Linked DNA regions of Alligator mississippiensis. The main gene of each other region encodes a partner of the protein of the gene in region 2 in a complex. Links are inferred from orthologs where the notes say so. Each region holds a gene or a part of one and is shown on either strand. Other genes may lie near its edges.

Region 1 (10,047 bases), on a different chromosome or scaffold from region 2:
ATCACCGCTGTCTATCCCAGCCTCTACATCACCTACAGGTTTCAGTAGCCTCAAGCTTGGTTAATAGAAGCATGAAAAAGTCTACACACTCACTCATTTTTCATCTCTCTCCTAGCCAGCAACCATTCCACAAAGTTCTTCTTGATCATGTTGTCTATGGTGCGGCTATAATCACTAGCCAGAATGGCCTCAGAATAACGTCTCTGCAAAACTCTGCTGCTGGGACTCTTCGTGTTTCCACTGGGAAAAAGAAGGGAGATGGAGTTAGCCATGGACAGACAAGAGAGAGAATGTTTCAAAGGCTCTTGCTTGTGATTTGAGGTGGCTGCCCAATTTGGTCACTGTCATTAGAGATATTTCATGATCCAGTTCAATAACCTGATAGGCACAAGGTGCTTAGTGGCTGCCCTAGTCCTTCTTTCCTTCCATCTCACCAGGATACAGTAACTCTTACTAACTTATATGGGATTCATACATACTGGACGAGAGGAGGCAGTATCACAATCTTAAAGAGGTCAGGAGCTACATACATTATACTCGCCCACTTTATGTAACTGCTCTATAGTTTCAAAGTGTCAGATTGTTGAATTCCTATTAGCTTCTCAGCCAGAGGAAGGAAATCTCCATTTTGTTCCTGACCAGCCTCCGTTCTCTTCCTGGTTCACTTGCAGCTCATATCCCCCAGACCAGTGCAATGAGATTTGTAGTGAGGTCTCGATACTTGGCTACCATCTCTAGTCTGGCATTCCTCCTTACAGCTGATATTTACAAGCTCTCATTGACACACTTATCTCAGGTGCATTGGAAGACTATGAATCTGACGTGGAAGTGATATGCCCAGAGAAGTCAATGAAACTCTCCTTGATCTCAGGGAGGAGCTGGAACAGTGTACTGAAAACACTTACCTGGTGCGGTTCTCCGCTGTCAGAACAAGGCTCAGAGAGGCAAGGAGGAGGGGGAGAACTTTCAAGGCCAGCATTTTCCTGACTTGTTTTCTCTAATCAAAGACAGAAAGCAACACAGAAGGCTAATTCTTTTCATGCACAGCAGGAAGGAAGTAGCATAACAGGAATAGTGGGCCAAAAGGTGAAGTGGGCTTGTACACATGTACTTATGTGACTGTCACACAAGTAGCCATGTCCCTGCTTAGAATGGCTTTTCCCCTTTTGAGGTATGGTGTGATCCCTACCACCTTTGCTTCCAGGATTTTTGCTTGTAATGCTGATTCCCTCCCTAGGGCTGACAGTAATACATTTTGTACTTCTTTCACTCACAAGATGACCATCTTACTCACTGGAGAGTGCAAATCCCTGGAGGCACAGACTTTCTGCAGATTAGCAAAAGGGTTCTGTACACATAGGCAGATTAATGCATGAGCCAAACAGGCCCAGGCCCAGGGTCCCATGCTTGGTGCAGATGAAACCAGTGACCACAAAGGGCGGCAGGCCATGGCTACCAGGTGCTGTTTGCTGGGTGCCACTTCAGCCAGACTGAGCTACTGAAGTGCGAGGGGCCACCCCTGGAGCTCAGTCTGTGCTACATGTGCCTGGCGGGGAGCAGCTCCTCACCCCAGTTCAGCTGGAGGGGCAGGGTGAGGGTTGGGGGGCCCAGGGCTCCAACGAATCTTAATCCATCCCTGTCTGTACACCTTCAACACTTTAGGGACTGATCCATGTCTCAGTGAAACAGTGGGAGTATTTCTGTTGCCTTCAATAACTCCAGATCAGGCACTTATAATGGTATCTTGACCAGGCCAGCCCAAGGGTAATTGGTACCTTAGGCAAACTGTGTACCTCAGCTTCCCCACCACTTCCAATATGTCTTTTAGGATGATGTTGCCAGCAGTATGCTCTTGTCATAAGACCACTTGAGCACTGAAAAGGTAGGAGTCATGAGGGGAATATGAGAGAGCTGTGAGGTGCACTTAAAGCCATGTCCAATCCCTTGATGTAGCTGTATGAAGGTCACCGGGAGCTGTAGTTGTGATGGTGGATGATTCTAGTGATCTTTCTTCAGAGATCTTTTCAGAAGTCCTTCTCCCCTTACTAAACCAAAGGTCTTAGTCCAAGGTGCAGCCGTAACCAGCCAGGTCTGTTATTTAAAATGATGCTCCTGTTATTTTGTTCTGCATATAAATTTGGCACCCTCCAAATTTTGGCACCCTAGGTGACCACCTAATTCGCCTAATGGTTGGACTGGTCCTGTATCTCGATATCCACATAACACTTCTGTAGGGATTAAGAACCTGACCTGATTTCTGTTTAAGTCAATGGAATGTTTTTATTGAGTGTGATCAGACCTTAAATAAGGACATGAGCCAAACTTCACTGAAGTTAGTGGAGAAACTTCATTACTGAGCCTCCAGCAGATTATTCCATTAATGGTATCCAGCTCTGGATCCTTCCCCAAGATGTTTTCACCTTAGATTGCTTTTTAGGTCATGTGACCTTGTCCCTATTCGAATTCACTACCCCTCGCACACTGGACCCCTTTGAATGACTCACTCAGCTCTGCAAACACTTTTCAAGAACATTCTTGCTTATTCACTATACAGACAACCAAACACATTCCAAAATAGATTTGGTTGTCCAATATTTCACTCTCTTTTTAAATATTTTTAGAATATTTGCAATGTTGAGTTTTAATATTAACAGCCACAGTAGTAAGAAAGACAAAATAAATATCAGGATGGAACAGGTATGTCAGGATTTAGTTGCTCAGTCCTGCAATCATTTATGCATGGGCATATCTTTACTCCATAAGTATAATGACTTACTATTCTTATATTTTCACAAGACTAGAGGCTTCACTGTGGTTTACAAAAATTGTGGAAATCAAAGATGCTTTTTAGATGTTTTTGTAATTCACACAGTGTTCACTTCTAGGAAATCAGGACATTTAAAAATATTTCTTGCAGTCCTTTTAGTAAGAAATACATTTGATGTAAGACCTCTGCATTTATCACCATCAACTTAGCAGCGTTTAAATCAAAGGTGTTGTGCTCACTGAAGATGGACAACCACCCTAAAAAGTTTGCATCCAAAACAGTAAGGCACATAAGGATGTGCTAGCTACAGAAGCAAATGGCAGTAAACTCTTAAAGCTTTTTGAATTAGAGAGAGAGAGAAAAAAAGAGAGAGTTTAAGTAACAGTGACTATTCCCTCTTTCATACAATTTGATTGCACATATTGGGATGATAATGGATTTGAAAATAGTTAAATTGGTGGAAGAAAATTTGTGTACCTGAAAGGAATCTTTTGTCTAGAGAAAATAGAAATAGAATTTTAGAATTGATGGGGGGGGGGAACATGTTAAAGTATTCTTAGATGATGCTGAATTTACTCAAAAAAGGAGAAAAAGTTCTAAGCTTAAGAGGCATTATGAAAATAAGCATTGATGTTAACATAATTATTTTAACAATATGGCAAGATTGGTCCTTTCCATCTTGGGTCTTAAGTCACTGGAGGATCTCAGGCTCTGAATCTGAAAGCTTCCAATGCTACCATACATTGCACAGGGCATGAACAGGACTCCACCATCCCCATCCAGCATACCATTTGCCAGACTATCTTCCCAGCTGTATTCCTATAGCTAAGCCTTCCCATATGGGTAGGTGGTGGCCCTCCAAGGAGGACCAGTGGACTATGTGCCATTTAGACCAGACCCATTGACCTGTGTGACTTAGTGAACACCTTCCTTCTCAACTCTCTCTGGTAGAGCAATTTGGACCTGTTACATCGTCATTTTGGGCAGCTTCTGAGTTCTTAGCCCTTATATGCACATTGACACCTTAAAGTGGCTTAAACCACTTGTTATGCAGCTCAAAGTTATGCCACTCCAGGGCAAGATTAGCTCTGATCTGCACAACCCAGCTCCTGTTCCATTAACATGTGGCTACTCCACACTGATGTGCCATTCAAGTTGAAGTTCTCCAGTATCTCAGGATGCAGTGGTCTGTCCCCCACCCTCCTGTTTTGTGGACAAACTTTCCATCCCCAGAACTCCTACAGCTCCTACTCCTGCCCCTGGTCACCAGGCCTCCAGTGGCAAGTCACAGCTGTGCAGGTGGGGGACAATCAGAGAAGGTTTCTAGACCAAAGGTGTGACTGCTTCAAACTCCAAGCTAGCACTAAATTGATCAATATTTGTGTGGCTCATAGCATAAGGTATAATATAGCCCTTAAATGCCATGGCCAAAGTCACATAGGACTGCTCTGGTGACATACAGAAGCCATAAATAGCATATAAAGGAATGACAGAGAATTCCCCCACAACACTGGCCCTCCATAATTGCCCTCAGTTGCAAGCCTTCTGGAGGTACACTAAGGGAAGAAACTTATCATTGGAAGAGGTAAGGCCATGATGCATTCTAGCTGTTACCACAAACTATAGGCAGCACTGGGGAGACTCATAATTTACACACCCCTCCTCCCAGGCTGCCTCATTACACATGAGCATGTTTTGGCCCCCTAAACAGTTAAAAACTGGGAGGACACACAAGATGATAGTCTCCCAGGCTTCACCGTCCCCTCCTTCCCCACCAGTCCCTTTGACTGTCTCTTCTGTGCTGAACTGCTTGAAGGTGTAGAATCCAACCCCAGATTTCTTGAGTGACAGCTCCTAGCCTGAATCAATGGTATGTTCCCTTTTCAGAATTGTAAGGACCTAACTGAATTTTTCTAGTTCAGTCAGAGCAATTTTAGCATTGCTTCTGCTGTGACAAGCAACGTGCTCATACCTCTTCACCCATATCAAGAGTTAACCATGGGTACAACCTCCTTTTTACAACTCCTTCCACCTGCAGTACTCACACTACCTTCCCTGCCTCCACACTATTAATTTAGGGAAGCATTTCAAAGAAAAAAAGAGAACAAGCGAGAAAGAGGGAGATTGGAATTGTACTTCTTACCTTGCTGACCCTCTGATTTCCGTAGATCCTGGTGTCAAATCAAGGCTCTTCAGACTCTTTATATTCCACAGGTGCAATGGACCAACCCTATTTCCATGAAATAAGCAGGAAATTAGTCACCTAATCAGAGTAAATCAAAGCCACTTAGATCAGCTCCATTAGGTCCACTGACCTACTGAGCAGGAAAATAACCTTTTAACGGGTGTTTACATTAATGGCAATTAAGCACTGTAATATCACAATGTTAAGAATTAACTCACATTAGGGCTATAATATGCATGGCATAAACTATGTGATCTTAAATTCTGCATGGTACCACCTTTCACCTGCCAGGACTGAGAAACTGAGGCAAATGCAAATGGTAGCTGGTGATGATTCTACAGAGAGTGAGTCTGATTCTCCTCTCTTTTCCACTGGGGTAAAGTAGGAGTCATTTCACTAAAGCCAATTGTGAGTGCCTACGGCCCCCTCCAAATGTTAATTAAATACCATAATTAGGATCTGAAAAATTTTAACTCCCCAAAAATATCATATCCATGGCAGAATGAATGATTGTTTGACTCTGTAATCACATGTCTGTCAGAGCATGCAGCTGGCTGCACCCTTACACCCGAGTAGAGGGAGCTGGGGATTGGAGACCTCCTGGATACCCAGTTGCCCGTGCCCAACAGGTGCAGGCCATTGCATGTGAGCTGGTAAAAGTTTGTGGTGCCTTTAATGGGAGATCCTTAATCCACAGTACATTTGCAGCTGCCTGCACATGTGCCAAGGTACAGATAGCTGTGGATTGGGAAGTTCCCCAAGTCCCAGAAGCTATAGCCGTTTGAAGGTCTGCAGCATGGGTGGCTGTGAATTTGGGAGCTCATTGACACAGAGCTGCCTACACCTTGCATCTTGAAATGGCACATGTACAACCTGTGGCAAGTAGGCTGTGGATTGGGGAGCTCATTGATCCACAACTTGCATGCAGCTGGCATCATGAATGCCCATGACAGCTTGGCACCACAGGTATCTAGGAAGGGTGGAGCTAGGAAGGCACCAGCATGCATGCTGACAGCTTTATGCACACCAGGCTGTGGACAGCTGGGGAATCGAGGATGCCCCTGTGTATGAAGAACCAATCGACTCCCCTGCATGGGGACCTTTAAAGCTCCACATCATTGGCGACATGTAGGGGTTGCATGTGCACTTCCTGAACTTGGCAGTGCACCCCCTGCAAAAAGTGCTGCTGATGCTGCCAGTGGCGCCTGCAGAAGGTCGCCACTCACCACCTCCCCCCCACCAACAACAGCACCGGTAGCATCTGTGGGCGGTCCCTGGTTGCCACTGGCTGCCACTGCTGCCAATGGCATCTGCAGGTGGTCACTGACCATGGTCAGTGCTCACCACTGCCCCCTTCCCCCTACCACCCCACTGCCAACACCACCATGGCTGCTTATGAGAGCTCCCCACTCACTGCCAACACGCCCCCGCTACTGACACTGCCACCGCTGCCTGTGGGCAGTCACTATTCCCCCCCAGCCTCTGGGGGCACACAGCATTCATGCTCCACAGTACAGCCCAACATTAGTCTGCACAGCATAGTTTTAAATATCTCTGAGCAGGGGGAACTATCTTGGCCTTCCCCTGTACCAACAAGATTAAACTCCACCATGCACCCAGCATCAGGCTGCATTGCAGAACTTTAACATGTCTTGCATTCAAATTAAACTGAGATACAAACCACAAACAAAGATGTTCCACATAAAACTGTGCATTAAAAATACTCATTGAATGTGGAACATCTTTGTTGCTGATTTGCCATTTTTATTGCAGGATAACTTGTCTGAATATGTGGCATGTTACCAAAAAGTTGCAGGACACTCTTTCTTAACTTGCAACAAATGTAATATCTGGAAGGAGTCTCAGAATCCCCCTTACAAAATGCTGTGCAAACTCTGGGTAAAAAACTAGTCCCTGTCCCAAAGAGCTTACAATCTAAGGCAGGAGACAGAAAAGTTTAAAGAGATGATCCCTATCAAAATGACAGGTAGGCACCACCCACACACTGGCAGCCTAGACAGAGTCACATTTTTTTTGTATTGCATCACAGCAGAGTTTTAAGGAGGGATATGAAAGAAAACAATGGAGTGACTGTGCAGCTGTTTATGGGAAGCAAAAGGGGCAATGTGGAAGAAAGCATGAAGGCAGGTGGTTGAAAATTTGACAAGGATGGAGGCTTGTGTCACGGATCTAATAGAGCCAGAACTTACCCTCTCAGCATTGAATGGGGAAGAGTAAGGGTAGGCTGTGAAGGGCCACGGAAGTAAGGATACATGGCTTGTGTTTGATGTGATAGACAGGGGAGAGCCAGCGACAGGGCACAACGAGAGGGGTGACCTGGTCAAAGGCACAGGCTCAGAGAATGTTCCCCACAGCCATGTTCTAAATGGATCCAAGCAGTGCAGGACTGCATTCAAAATGACCAGAGAAAAGGATATTGTTGCAATCCAAATATGAGACAGGGAGAGCCTGGGCAAGTTTTAGCTCTGGGAAGACAGAGCTGTATCAGAAATGTTTTTTTCCCTCAGAAAGAATTATTTCAGGTTGTCTGGTTCTCTCTCTCCTTTACACTAGCATTAAAAAGTTCCTCACCCAGCACAGAGATGCCACAGGATGCCCTAATCTGCCTCCCTGTGCTGCCCTGTATATTGAGAAGAGCCTCTCTGGCCTCAGGGAGAGACAGAGGTGTAGCTGGAGTGTTTTGTGCTGCAGATATTCTTGGCCAGTAGGACAAGTTATACAAGAGCTCCGTAACTTAAAGCAGCCTCTAGGTTACCTACAAGCTCTTATGTGGATGCAGTTACACTGTGCAGGAAAGGAGTAAGCTATACTGGGATAAGCGATATTATTTACATTAGTCTGTGTTCATACTAGGGGCTGTACCAGTTTAACTGCACCAATATAAACTCACACCCCTCATCAACATCATTACTGTATGAAAGGCTGTGTAGATCAGACCTAAGGGAGGAAATAGGTACCTGTCTTGACATTTAAATGTTTGTTACTAAGCAGTTGGATGATTGTTTGGGGCCTCTGCAAAGTAGGTTGCCTATGTGATGAGACTGTTGCTGCTTTTACTGTGCCAGTTAAAATACTAGAGATCCTTGTTGTAGCTATAGGCAGTTATATCATCTCCCTGGATGACAGAAGTCCCAGGTATGGAAATACATATTTTTATTTTAAAATACCACACTGGTCACATTTTCTTGAGATTGTCTTGGCTGCCATAAGAGAAAGTCAGGCCCTGCCTCGACTTGAAAGGGATTGTTGTTGTGGCTATAGCAGCACATCCTGCTAGGCTGTGTCTACATTGCTAATACATACTGACAGGGCTCTGTCAGGGAAGGGTGCAAAGTTGTGTGATCCTGGATCAGCACAGCTGTGTTAGCGGAAGCAATTACACTGGTGAAACTGCCCAATTACCAGTGATAGAATCATAGAAAAGTAGGGCTGGAAGGAACCTCTAGAGGTCATTTAATCCATGGGTGGGCAAAATATGGCCCGTGGGCTGATTTTACACAGCCCACAGCTGCTCCTCTGAAGGAGAATTGTAGTTCACACATAGCTGCCCTGGCTTTATGTGCCTCTCACCCTTCTCCCTTCCCCATGTCAGCCAGCAGCAGCAGCAACAACAACAACCACTCCCCTCCCCTCCCCTCCCCTCCCCAGCTGCCTGTCCTGCCCCCCAAGCCCCAGTGTAAGCTCCAAGGCAAGGGGTGCTGAGCTCCTGGCCAGGTTTCTGCCCGGTGGGGATGTCTGCTCACTGCTTGGACCCTACGCCCAGCAAGTTAAAGCTCAGGTAAGATTCTCCCTGCTGGTAGGAGAGGGAGTACAGGGGGAAAAGGGCCAGAAGCCATGGATTATCTGGGTTCTGCCAGGCTGGGACCTGGTAGGGGCATGGGCACTGGTGCCACGCTGTGTTCCCATGCACCACTTCAGGCTGCACCATGTGGACACAGCTGGAGTGGCTGGCACAGCCTCTACTCGACCCTGAGTCTCTGACATGCAGCTGGGTTGGGCAGGAGCTGTGCCAGTTGCACTCACATGGCCTAAAGTGGCACACAGGAACACAGTATGTCACCAACCTGGCTGCATGCCAGGGACTCGGGGAAGGGGTGCAGGAAGAAGGGGGGAACAGTGCAGCACTGGCTTGGCCAGGTCTGGATAACCTACAGCTCCCTTCTTCCTGCACCCCCTCTCTCCTCCCCTCCTGCCCCCCAAGTCCCCGGCACATGGCTGGGCCAGGCCAGTGCTGCACAGTATTCCCACGCACCACCTTGGACCACATGGGTGTAGCTGGCACAGCTCCTGCCCGACCCGGCTGCCTGCTGGAGACTTGGGACAGGGTGCATAGAGAAAGGGGCTGGGAGCCATGGGTAATCTGGGCCCAGCTGGGCCAGTGCTGCTCTCTGTTTCCTCCCTTCTCCCTGTCCTCTTTCCCCTACCCTGAATCCTTGGCACACAGCCAGATTGGGCAGGAGCCATGCCAGTTGTACCTGTGTGGTCCAAGGTGGTACATGGGAACACACTGCAGCACTGGCCTGACTGTGTGCTGGGGACTCGGGGTGGGGCTGCAAGGAGAAAGGGGGAACAAAGGTTAGATTCCCCTAACCTTTCCTTAAGTGGCTGGAGGGACACTTAAGGAGTTTTGGTGAGCTGTTGCCAGGGGAGGGGGTCCTGACTTAGCCCGTGACAGCTCACCCAAATTCCCTAAGTGGCCCTCTGGCCAAATTAATTGTCCACCCCTGATGTAGTGCAATCCCCTACCTATCCAATCTATCCCATACAAATCCATTGTCTAATCTAGTAGCAAAACTACAGTCAAACCCTAACAGCCACAAAACAAAATACCTTAAACTGTCATAGGTAAAGAAAGGGAACAATGGTGGCCAATGTCCTGCTGCTGGGATGGTTGCTAAAGTACTCTTGAGAGACACAAGGAAGAGGGTCATGCCCCTGCTACAAAGAAAGGCAAAAACCTTCACTGTCCATACCAATATGATCAGAAGATAAAATTCCTTCCTGACCCCAAATATAGCGATCAGTCTGACCCTGAATAGAGGTGCAGGATCTTCTAGTCAGGAACCTCTGTTTA
Region 2 (10,574 bases):
AAGGAAGCTATAGGAAGGGTAGGTGCCTGAAGTCAGAGCAGGCATGTTTGCTGCGGGCACATGGATGGGGAGCTACAAGGAAGGGTAGGTGCCTGGCAGCCATGTTTCTTGCGGGCACAGGACGTGGGGAGCTTTCCAACTATTTAGGTGGTTCTAATAAAAGATATCAGATTCGCCCAAAGAACCTTGTCTGCCTGTGTCCTTAGACCAACACGGCTACAGCCTACACCCCAGCCGTTGTGCAAAGTAGCTTCCCGCCCCGCAACCAATGGGCGCACAGCCCTGCTCCAGCCCCTGCCATTGGCCTGGGGGCAGACCCCCGAGCCCTGCTCCGCCCCTTCCCGGGATCCAAGCCACGCCCCCCACTCCCTGCCCCCCCAGCCGAAGGAGACGGGCCTGGGGGCACTTGGGGAAACTGAGGCACGGAGCAGCCGGAGCTGTGGCCCCTGGAGCGGCGGGCGGAACCCGGGCGTCCGGCTCTGCCCCCCTCGTCGAGGCAACACTTGGCCTCGCGGGCATGGACCCTGCCAGCCCCCGCGGGCACCTGCTGGGGTCCGTGTGACCCCCCTACACAGGCAGCAGTGGGGTGGCAGGGCCCCAGGACCCCCCGCCCCTGCACCCTTAACCCTTCCCCCCGCGCTTACCCCGGGCAGGTGCCAGGCGCTGCCGCCCTCCCCCCGCAGCAACCGCAGCTCCGCCTCCCGGCCCCCCGCGCCTGCGCAGCTCAGCCACGCCCCCTCTGGCCAGCGCGGGGCATCCTGGGAGTTGCAGTCCCAGCAACGGGGGTGTCCAGACACAATCGTGTTGGGGGGGGGGGATCCTAGATCCATCCCACCACTACTGGTACCCCCACTGCGGTCCCAGAGCTGGGAGAGGCAGACCCGTGGGGAAGGGGGGCATCGTGCCAGCCTCCCCCGAGGCGCGGCAGCCCCATGCGCCCAGGCTGCCCTAGCGTAGACAGCGCTGCGCCGCCAGCACACGGACACGGGCAGAGTTCAACGGAGGGTTTAATGAATGCAAGCAACGACGGGGAGTCCGGGCCCACACGGCGCCCCCCAGGCGGGCCTGGCCGAGGAGGCACGGAGCCGCCCCGGGGCAGGGAGCAGGGGCCCGGCCAGCGCTAGCAGGTGCTCTCGGAGAGCTCGGCCCCGGGCGGGCCCCCGGCGCCGGGCGCCGGCTCCTCCTGGCCCCCCGCGGGCCGCAGCCGGGCCGGGGTCCCGGGGCCGCGGCCGCAGCCGCAGCCTGGCCCGTGCCTGCAGCCCCGGCCCCGGCCCCGCGCCCGCTGCAGGCTCCGGCCCAGCTGGCACCGCTGCCACTGCCGCCGCAGCTCGGCCTGCACCTGGGGGCGACGGGCCGTGAGCGGGGGGCAGCCCCCGGCCCCCCCGCAGCTGAGGGGTTAACCCCCGCGCACCCACCTCCTTGTTGAGGAAGCAGTAGAGGACGCTGACGAGCAGCCCCTGCGGGGACAGCGGGGCGGGGTCACGGCGCCGGAGTGCCCCGCCCACCTGGGGCACTGGCCCCGCCCGCCCAGCTCCAGCCCCCACCCGGGCCGCTGGCCCCGCCCCGGCGGCCCCGCCCACCTGGAAGGAGCTGAGGAAGAGGTGCAGGAAGAGGCGCGCGAAGCGCAGGGCCCCGCGCGGCGCCTCGGGCAGGAGCGCGAACAGCAGCTCGTGGCTGCCGAGCAGCGGCACCAGCGTCAGCGTCGAGCGGGCCAGCCTGGGGGGGCGCGGGGGGTCAGCCGGGGCGCGGCACGGCCCGGCACGGCACGGCACGGCCCGGCCCCCCCGGCCCGGGACCCACCGCAGCTTGTAGTCGGGGCAGCGCCCGTGCGGCGCCCGCAGCTTGGCCCCGAGCACCCGCAGGATGCGCACGAACAGCACGAAGTTCACCTGGGGGGGCGGGGGGGGCTGGGGGGCAGCCGGGCCCGCCCCGCCCCGCCCCGCCCCGCCCGGACAGGCCCGTCCCCCCCCGCTGGTCCCAGTTACCCCCTCCCCATTATTGGCCCAGTCAGACCCGGCCCAACTTGCCCCGCCAGGCAGGGGAGCTTTCCCCGACCTCCCCTCGCCCCCCTATCCTCCCCCGGCTCACCAGCACGGCCAGCAGGAGGGGGCAGCGCACGATCCACCAGTGCGCGCGGTTGTCGATCCGCTCCCAGCACCTGCCCCGCAGACCCGGCGTCACTGCCCCCCAGGTCCCGCCCCAGGCACGGGGGGCACGACCCGGCCCCGACCGCCGGGCTCGTCCCGTCCCCCCCCCCGCCCCCAACTCACTGCGTGTTCTCGTAGAGGTACCGCACCACGGCCCAGGGGCCCACGAACAGCACCGGGGTCCCTGCGGGGGCGGCGGTGAGTGCGGGGCTGGGCCGGCGCGGGCGGCCCTGGTGTAGACGCGCCGCCCGCCGCGGGCACTCACCCCAGCCCAGCAGCAGGTAGGCGGGCAGGCGGCCGTCCTCGGTGCCCCGCAGCGCCAGCAGCGCGTGGAGGTGCAGCCCCTCGGCCAGCAGCCAGCAGTGGTTGGCGCCCACCCCGTACTGGGTCAGCACCTGCGCCAGGCGGCAGCTGGCCACGGCCTGCGCGGGCGGGGGTTACCGGGCTGTGGGGGCAGCCGGGACCCCCCAGGGCACTGTCAAGGGAAGATCACCGCGGCCCCCCCCCGCCCGACTGCACCTGGCCCGGCAGCGCGGGGGGGGCGCCCGGGGGCCGCGGGGGGCGCGCGAGGAGGCGCCGCAGCAGCTCGTCGCGGGCCAGGACGGCAGCGGCGCGGAGCACGAAGGAGCCGAAGAGCTGCGCGTGGATGCGGTTGCGGGTGCAGCGGAGCCGCCTGCGGGGCCGGGGGCCGGGATCAGGGTCCCGCTCGGACCCCACCCTCCGAGAGCCACGATCGGGGCCCGCTCGGACCCGCCCCCCAACCCGCAGCCCGAATCGAGCCCCTCCTCTCAGCCGGGATCTGGGCCCCTAGGATTTGCTGAATCGACCTCCCCATCCCAGCCAGGATCGGGGCCGCTCTTGGACCCCAGCCCCCTCCACCGCAGCCAAGTCCGGGGCCCTCAGAGGCCGAATCAACCCCGGCCCCCAGCATCCCGCCGCCCGTGTCTCCAGGGCAGGATCGGGGCCCCTGGGGGGACAGAATCGGGGCCCCCACCTGCAGGCGAGCAGCGGCAGCAGCGCCAGGAGCAGCGCGGCCAGAGACAGCGAGTAGCCCGCGGTGTAGACGAGGCGCCCGCGCTCCAGCAGCCAGGCCTGGTGCTGGGGGGCGGAGGGGGGTCAGGGTGGCCAGAACGGGACCCCCCGCCCACACCCTGGGGCCCTGCCCCACGAAATAGAGGGGGCCCGACCCTGCACCCCGCGCCCCGCGCCGGGAGGACACCTACGCATCCGAGCTCCCGGCGCCCAGGGCGGACCGAGGCGTCCGGCACTGACCTGCAGGGGCAGCTCGGGGGCGGGGGCTTCGCACTGCGCGTTGTCGTGCCAGGGCGGCCCCCCCGGCTCCGCGACCCAGCGCCCGTCGGGGCCGCAGCGGCGCAGCACGGATCCGTCCCGCACTGCGGAGAACAGGGCACACGCGTGTCTTGGGCTCCACGGCATGCGTGGGGTGGCACGGAACCGGCCGGGGCCCCTGGCACCCCGGGGAGCATGTAAGGGGCCCGCATGGCACTAGCGTTTGCGACCCTACCGTGGTGGTGCCAGGGCAGGTACCAGGGGCAGGGCACCCGGGCCGTGGTGTTGGGCGTGGCGTCGTCCCAGCAGGCGTACATATCAAACGTGCGGTTGCACACGAGCCCTGCGGGGCAGGGGAGCACACTTGTGTGAGCTGGCCCATGACAGCCTTGCACAGGCCTTGGCGGCTGCACTACCTGCATGCCCACGTGTGAGAGAGGGGCCTGCAGGCTAGACCTGCCACAGGCAGGGAGCGTGGGTGAACCAGCAGGCCGCACACACGTGTGCAAAGCGTGTTCGTATACGGCAAAGAGCCGGCATGTGTGAGATGGGACCGGGGTGCCACAGGTCCCCGCAGCCTTGCCTCGGACGCACCTTGCATGCACTCGTGTGAGTGACTCGCTGGCCCATGTCACAGGGTCATGCACCCCCATATGCAGGGGCCAGTGCTTGAGCAGGGCACACGCGTGTGTGCGAAGTGTAGTTGCAAAGAGCTCCCAGGCATGCAGTGAGACTGGTGTGTCCACAGCCCCATGCCCACGTGTGCATGACCTGGTGCTCGCTCACACAGGCCCTTGCACCCACACGTGTGTCGCACAATGGCCTTTCCCCAGGGGTAGCAGGGACAAAGCCCCCGTCCTGCCCCTGCTGCGGCTTCTCCCGGGAGAGCCGCCCCTAGTGCAGACGAGGCTCCGCCGCCCAGACCCGAGCCAAGGCTAAGGCGGGATTGGGGGATGGGGGGGGACGGTTAGGGAGGGGTCTCTTCCTGCCCACGGGGACTCACCCAGGGCCGGGGGCTGGTCCCGCAGGCGTCGCTCGCACTCCTGCCGATACTCTCGCCACGCCACCACCGTGTCCGCCGCCGACCGCTCCACCCCGCCGGCCTGGGGTGGGGGGGGCAAGTCAGGGGGGGCAGTGGAGGGAGCAGGGCCGGCGGGGTTGGGGGGGGGTCTCACCTCCATGAGGGCGGCCCACAGCAAGGCCAAGGCCACGGCCAGCCACATGCCGGGGGGCTCAGGGGCGCGGGGGCCGGCGGGGCGCAGGGGCCCCCTCCATGGCAGCCTGGGAGAAGTCGGGGGGGGGTGGTCAGGGGTCTGGAGGACCTGCCCTGGGACCCCCAACCCCCCGTGGGCCCGGGGGAGGCTTTACCTGCTGCGGGACGCGGCACTGGGGCCAGGACCTGCTTTGGGACAGGAAATGAAGCGCCCCTACCCCCCCATCGCTGCTGAGGACGGGGATTCCCCCCCCACACGCGTCGTTCCCCCCCCCCCCCCCGCCCAGCCCTCCAGGGAGCAAGGAGCGAGGCCTGGCCCGGCAGTGACGTCACCCGTTGCCACAGCGCCCGGGCCGGGTGCGGGGGGGCGCCTGGGGCCCGGCAGGTGTCAGCCCCCCGCCGTCCCCCCCCGGGGCAAACCCTGCCCCCCCCATGGAGCGGGGTGCAGCCCAGAGCCCCCCACAGCAGCTCGGGGCAGGGGGTCAGAGGGCAGGGAGCCCGGACGCCTGGGTCCCATGCCAGCTTCCCCCTCTCGTCTGTAACCCTCCACCCCCTCCCACCCCGCTGCCCCCCCTCCCCGGGCAGCTCTTGCGGGGGCGCGCCCCCATTTCGGTCCCCACAGACAGGCCCAGGGACGGGGAAGCCCCGCCCCCCCCCGGGAGGGCAGCCAGGGCCCGGGAAAGTCACGGAGCCCCCCCCCCCGTGCCTCAGTTTACCTGTGACCACCGGTTCCAGCTAGTGCCGTGCTGCCCCGGGGTGGGGGGGGGCGGTCTCACCTGCTGTCTGCATGGGGTGGGCTGCCCCCCCAGCAGCAACCCTCTCAGCTTGAGCTCCTCTCAGGGGCTGGGGGCCCCCATAGGACACCCCCCCCTCCGCCCCCTCACGCGGGATCCAGGTCCTCCCTGCGCCAGTGATGCCCCCAGCCACCCCTTGCACCCGGGGTCTCCCCCAGACTCAGCTGCATCGACCCCGCGTCCAGCGCCGGGCGCCTCTCTTGGGACCCCTGGGCCGGTACCTTCCCCGGCCGGATCCGGCGCACGGAGCCCCCGGGAGGACCGACGCGACGGGACGGGACGGGACGGGACGGGGTGGGGCAGCTCAGCCCGGCTCCCCGCACGTCTGGGTCCCAGCCGCCGACACCCCGATTTAAAGTGCCGGTCCGGGCGGGACCGCCCTGGGGGCGGGGCTAGGGCGGCTGGCCCCGCCCCAGAGCCCTGAGTGGGGGCGCTGAGAGCAGCTGAGAGGACCCCCGTCACCCCACCTGCAATGCCTCGTGGGCAGTGATCCCGGCCTGGCTCTGCCCCTCAGGGGCTTGCAGGGCCGAGCTGGCATCCTGGGAAAACTGAGGCAGGGCTGGCACTGACACTGGGGAGGGCCCTGGCACTGGGTGCAGGGGAAAACTGAGGCAGGAACCCTGGGTTGGGGGAGGTGGAGGCCGTGGGCCCCACACCAGGCCGCGATCGATGTCCCCTCCCTTTGCCCCCAGCGTTGGCAGGAGGAACTGGGCAGGGCAGCTCCTCCCCGGGGACAATCTGGGCCAAGGCCAGGGTGGGGGGGGCAGTGCCAGGCACGTCTGCTCCCATCCGCAGGGCAGTACAGGGGCCAGGTGCTAGCCTGCCCCTCCCTCTCCCAGGTCTTATCCCAAACCACCAGGAAGCCTGGCGAGGGGTAACAGCTGCACCCCAGGGCCAGCTAAATCTTGGCCCAGGGGCAGGCCTGGCACATCACTGGTGCCAATCATGCACCAACTGGGGCTGAACTGGGACCCCAGGGCTTCCACGTGCCCCCTCCCGGGGGGTTTCACAGGGTGGGAGGGGCAGGTCTGATGTAAGGCACAATGTGAACCAGCCACAAAGATGCTCCACATTCACTAGGGAACGTCCTCGTGGCTGGTTCACCATTTTGTGGCTTAACGGACTGCAGGCCATGCTAGAATCCATGGGAACAGCGCCATAAACATAACATGTGCCGGGCCCGGCTGCCCCAGAAGCTGAGAACCGCCTGCACCAAGGTCCTGGGAGACCCCAAGACACAGCATCACCCGCACAAAGAGCCCCTGGGTGGGGGGTGGCATTGCTCCCCCAGGCGCTGAGACCTCCCAGCTCCCTGCCAGCTGCATAAGCGGTAGGCTCCAGGAGAAAGCTGCTGGAGGCCTTGTCCAGGAGGGAGAATCCCCTTGGCAGGGGGCAGTAGAGGGTCTAGGACACAGAAACATGCGCACGCGGCTGTGGTCCCCACCCCGGTTTGCTGTGGTTCCCCCCCCCCGGGTTGAAATCCCTTGGACCTGGACGGACTAAGGGTGGGGGGGGAGAGGCTGAGGTTCGGGACTGAGGCGCACCGCGGGGCATGGACCCCGCACGTAGCCCTCCCCCTCCTACGTGAGTCACAGGCTCCCCGGGGGCCGCGGCGCAGTAAACAGGAGCCCCACTGGGACCCGCCGGCGCTCCGCTCCGCTCGGCTCCCGGGTCTATTTGCAGCTCGGAGCGGGGAGACACGCGCCCACGCGGCCCTGCACATGGCAGCCGCGGGGGGGGGGGCGCAGCCGGGGGGAGGGGGGCTGGGGGTTGGGGCTCCCAGGGACTGCCCCCCCACCCCGTGGTAGCGCCGGAGCTGCTCCAGGACCAACCCGCAACGCACGGCCCCCGCGGTGGCACCGGCAGGGGCAGCTCCCGCTCCCCCGCGGGCACCCTAGGGGGGTAGCGGAGTGGGGGCTTCTGTCCCCCCTCGCCCCCCGGGTGCACAGCTTGCCCCGGGGCTCCCTGGTAATGGGGGGGCGGGGGTGAGTCACATTTAGAGCGAGAAGCGCGGACAAGGCTCGGCACACGCACGCACACGTGACGCCGGCCCGGGTACGCACACACGTGCACACATTTACACATTCACACACGCACACGTGCATACACATGCACAAACGCACAGCAAACCCCCCCCCCCGCTCCTCGGAGAACCATAGACGCCGGGAGGGGAGCGCAAAGAAAGCATCGGCACCTCCCCCCGCGCAGGGCATGGTGGGCTGGTGTCCTCGGAGGATCTGTGGCAGCCGAGAGGGTGCCCCTCGGCCCCTCCCAGCCCGCTTTCACGGCCACACCCGTGGGGCCCGGGCAAGGCCACGCGGCCTTCTCGCCCCCCGCACAGACCCACCCCCAATCCCGGGGCCTGGAGGGGGCATGGGACCGCCCTGCCCCCATGCACTGAGCTGGTCTGTCCTCAGCCCCCGCCAACCCTCGGGGGGATCCTGCCCCCCGCATTGCCCCCCTTGTATGAGCCGGCTCCGCCCCTGCGCCCCAGGCCCTGGCCCCGCCCCCGAGCACTTCGCCCCGCCCCTGAATCCCTGACTCCTCCCCCGTAACCGGGAGGCCGGGTGGGCGGAGCCTCGGCAGCGCTGCTCCAATCCGCACCTTACCTTGCCCTGTCAGCCCCCGTGGCTCCGGGGCTGGGGGGCACGCGGGGGGGGGCATGTCCCGCCGCCGCCCGGGTGATGCAGAGCGCGGTTGCCATGGAGAAGGAGGCAGGGACGGCTGGACCGGGCGGGGCGGGGGGATCCCGGGTGCGGGGGCCGGAGCGGCGCCGCCTCCCGGCCCTGCTGTGGCGGTGAGTCAGCGGGGGCAAGGACCCCCCAGCCTGGCCGCTGCCCCTCACTCCCGCTCCGCTGCCGCCCTCGGCCCCGGCGCCCGCCAGCCGGCCTCGGCTCCGGCCGTGGCATCTGTCCGGGGCTAGCGGCGCCGCCGGGCCTGGCAGGATGCCGGCGGGGGAAGCCCCGCTCCCACCCCCGCCCGGGCCCTGGGGGCTGCCACGGGCTCCGAGATGCAGCCGGCTCTGGGGAGGGCGGCCCAGGGGATCTCGGACCTGACCCGGGCCCGGAGCTCGGTGCGCGGGAGGAGCGCCCCCCCCCCGCATTGGGGCTGCCCCAGCTGGGGGAAGACCGAGCGCTAGGGGGAGGGGTCACGGAACGGACACACGAGGAGCTGTCCCGCGGTAACTGCCCCCCAGCCACTGAGGGGCAGGAAGCCCCGCCCCTTAGGGGAGGAGTCAGGCTGGAGAGGGAGGAGCAGAAGACGGGAGGAGCGAGTGGGGCGCAGCTCTTTTCCCCGCGGCTGTCCGTGGTCACAGCGCAGCCCCTCCGTCTCAGTGACGTCACAGTTTATCCCCCCCCAACCCAGCAGCAGTGATGTCAGAGTGTGACCCCTCTACCCTGCAAGTGATGTCATAGCATACCCTCTTCCCCCTAGAGTGGGCACAGCACGACCCCAGTACCCTGGCAGTGATGTCATAGCATACCCCCTCCTCCCACCGTGATGTCACAGCACTATGCTTCTACGCTAGCAAAGATGTCATAGCAGACCCCCTCCCCCTCAGAGATGTCACAGCATGGCCCCTGTGCCCTGGCGATGATGTCACCGCAGAGCCCCTCTCCTCCGCAGTGATGTCACAGCACAACCCCTCTGCCCTGGCAGTGATGTCACAGCCCAGCTCCTTCCACTGGCAGTGACGTCACGGGCCCACCGGGCTCTGGAGGCAAGCGCCTGCCCGCCTCTGCCCCCGCAGTCCAGCCCGAGGGCCCCCGTGCAGGCCCCGCCGGGTGGGGGGAGCCGCGGGGCGCCCCCTGGCCCGGCTGCGGGGCTGGCGCGGTGCCGGGCTGCGGCAGGAGGCGGCGCGGGGGGAGGAGCGGGCGGACGCGGCTGCTGCAGAGGCTGGAGCCGCGCGCGGGCACCGGCCCCGCACCCACCCGCACCGGTCCCGCAGGTGGGTGCCCACCCGGGGGGCACGGGGGGACCGGGTTTGGGGGGTCCTGGGGGGCACAGCCCGGGGAGATGCAGGGCAGCGCCAGCCCTCCGCCCATTGAACCCCCCGGCCCTGGAGGGAGGGGGGGTGCAGTGCCCGAGGGCTGGGGGCAGTGGGGTGGTAGAGTGTGACCAAAGGGGGGTTCGGGAGGCGTGGCCCCTGGGGGGCACTGTGGGGGGTCAGAGTGGAGTTTGGGATGGCAGCAGCTGATTGGCTGAGTGACTGCTGGGGAGGGGCGGGGCCAGCTGGGGTGTGGCGGGGCGGGGCCAGATGGGGTGTGTCCGGGAAGGGCGGGGCCGGCAGGAGGTAGGTCAAGGCAGACTCTTCCCTCTCCCACCTATTTCCAGCCGGGGGGTCCCGGGGCTGCCCAGCCCCCCTTCCTGCTGCATCATCCTCTCCAGACCCCCTGTGGACGGAGGGGAGGGCCTCAAGGGCAGAGCCAGCCCGGATCGGGTCCTTCATCCCTCCAGGGCAGGATCGGGCCCCGCAGCGCTGCCCCCCCCGCATGTAAATCATCCCCGGGGTAATCTACACACTGGAGCTCATTTAAATACAAACCCCGCTCCACCTGCTGGGGCTCGCTCGGTGCGGTGGGAGCCGCCCGGGCGGGGCCAGGACACCTGGGTTTCACAAGGCAGAGGTCTCCGGAGACCCCCCGGCACAGACCCCTCCTGGCGGGTCAGAGCTGGTGCTGGGGACGGTCACACGGGGGGGCGGACGGACCCAGCCTTCAGAGCCCCCGGGTCCCTCACGTGGGTGCCGGGACTCCTGGGTTCCCTTCCCCGCCCCCGCAGCTGGGCCGCGGGGGGGGCTCTGCCCTCACAGGGCCCGGGGGGGGGGGTGCAACTGAGCCCCAGGGCTACGGAAGCTGGAGTTGGGGGGGGGGCAGCCGGACTCCTGGGTCCCCTCCCTGAGTGCAGCCAGGCACCTTGGCCTGTAGGTGCCTGGCTGCTTTGGGGGGTTGGGGGGGGCAGCCTCGAGATCCCCTCCAGGACCCAGAAATCCCGCCCCCCAGCCCCAGAGGACCCCTCCCCCAAGCGCCTCGGGCACCCAGCAGCATCCAAGGACCCCCCAGAACCCGCAGGAGATCCATCCCGCCCCCCCGGGGGGTCCCCGAGGTGCCGAGTTGGGTCCCCTGGCCC

Evidence for each region.
Region 1: the proteins of GIPR (region 2) and pro-glucagon are in contact, whole or in part, in a cryo-EM structure (PDB 7RA3), measured with the Homo sapiens proteins. The link is inferred for Alligator mississippiensis from reciprocal best matches to the Homo sapiens genes GIPR and GIP. Residues at the interface, in NP_000155.1 of Homo sapiens: Gln30, Thr31, Ala32, Leu35, Tyr36, Trp39, Tyr68, Trp71, Leu88, Trp90, Arg101, Arg113, His115, Asn120, Gln130, Arg131, Leu134, Glu135, Leu137, Gln138, Tyr141, Tyr145, Arg183, Ile187, Arg190, Asp191, Pro197, Gly198, Pro199, Tyr200; in NP_004114.1 of Homo sapiens: Tyr52, Ala53, Glu54, Gly55, Thr56, Phe57, Ile58, Ser59, Asp60, Tyr61, Ser62, Ile63, Ala64, Met65, Asp66, Lys67, Ile68, His69, Gln70, Gln71, Phe73, Val74, Trp76, Leu77, Leu78, Lys81.

What each region holds. Positions count from the first base shown.
Region 1 is NC_081827.1:168,494,486-168,504,532, forward strand, and holds the start of pro-glucagon, read right to left. Parts: upstream 5,000-10,047; 5' UTR 4,911-4,999; intron 998-4,910; 5' UTR 980-997; coding exon 906-979; intron 241-905; coding exon 94-240; intron 1-93. UniProt on the Homo sapiens protein: Potent stimulator of insulin secretion and relatively poor inhibitor of gastric acid secretion.
Region 2 is NC_081838.1:391,759-402,332, reverse strand, and holds GIPR (gastric inhibitory polypeptide receptor), read right to left. Parts: upstream 4,891-10,574; 5' UTR 4,806-4,890; intron 4,719-4,805; 5' UTR 4,661-4,718; coding exon 4,613-4,660; intron 4,541-4,612; coding exon 4,441-4,540; intron 3,781-4,440; coding exon 3,673-3,780; intron 3,542-3,672; coding exon 3,420-3,541; intron 3,246-3,419; coding exon 3,142-3,245; intron 2,821-3,141; coding exon 2,667-2,820; intron 2,570-2,666; coding exon 2,271-2,569; intron 2,159-2,270; coding exon 2,089-2,158; intron 1,890-2,088; coding exon 1,801-1,889; intron 1,717-1,800; coding exon 1,581-1,716; intron 1,458-1,580; coding exon 1,416-1,457; intron 1,340-1,415; coding exon 1,121-1,339; coding exon of another isoform or gene 1,008-1,120; 3' UTR 990-1,007; downstream 1-989. UniProt on the Homo sapiens protein: This is a receptor for GIP. The activity of this receptor is mediated by G proteins which activate adenylyl cyclase.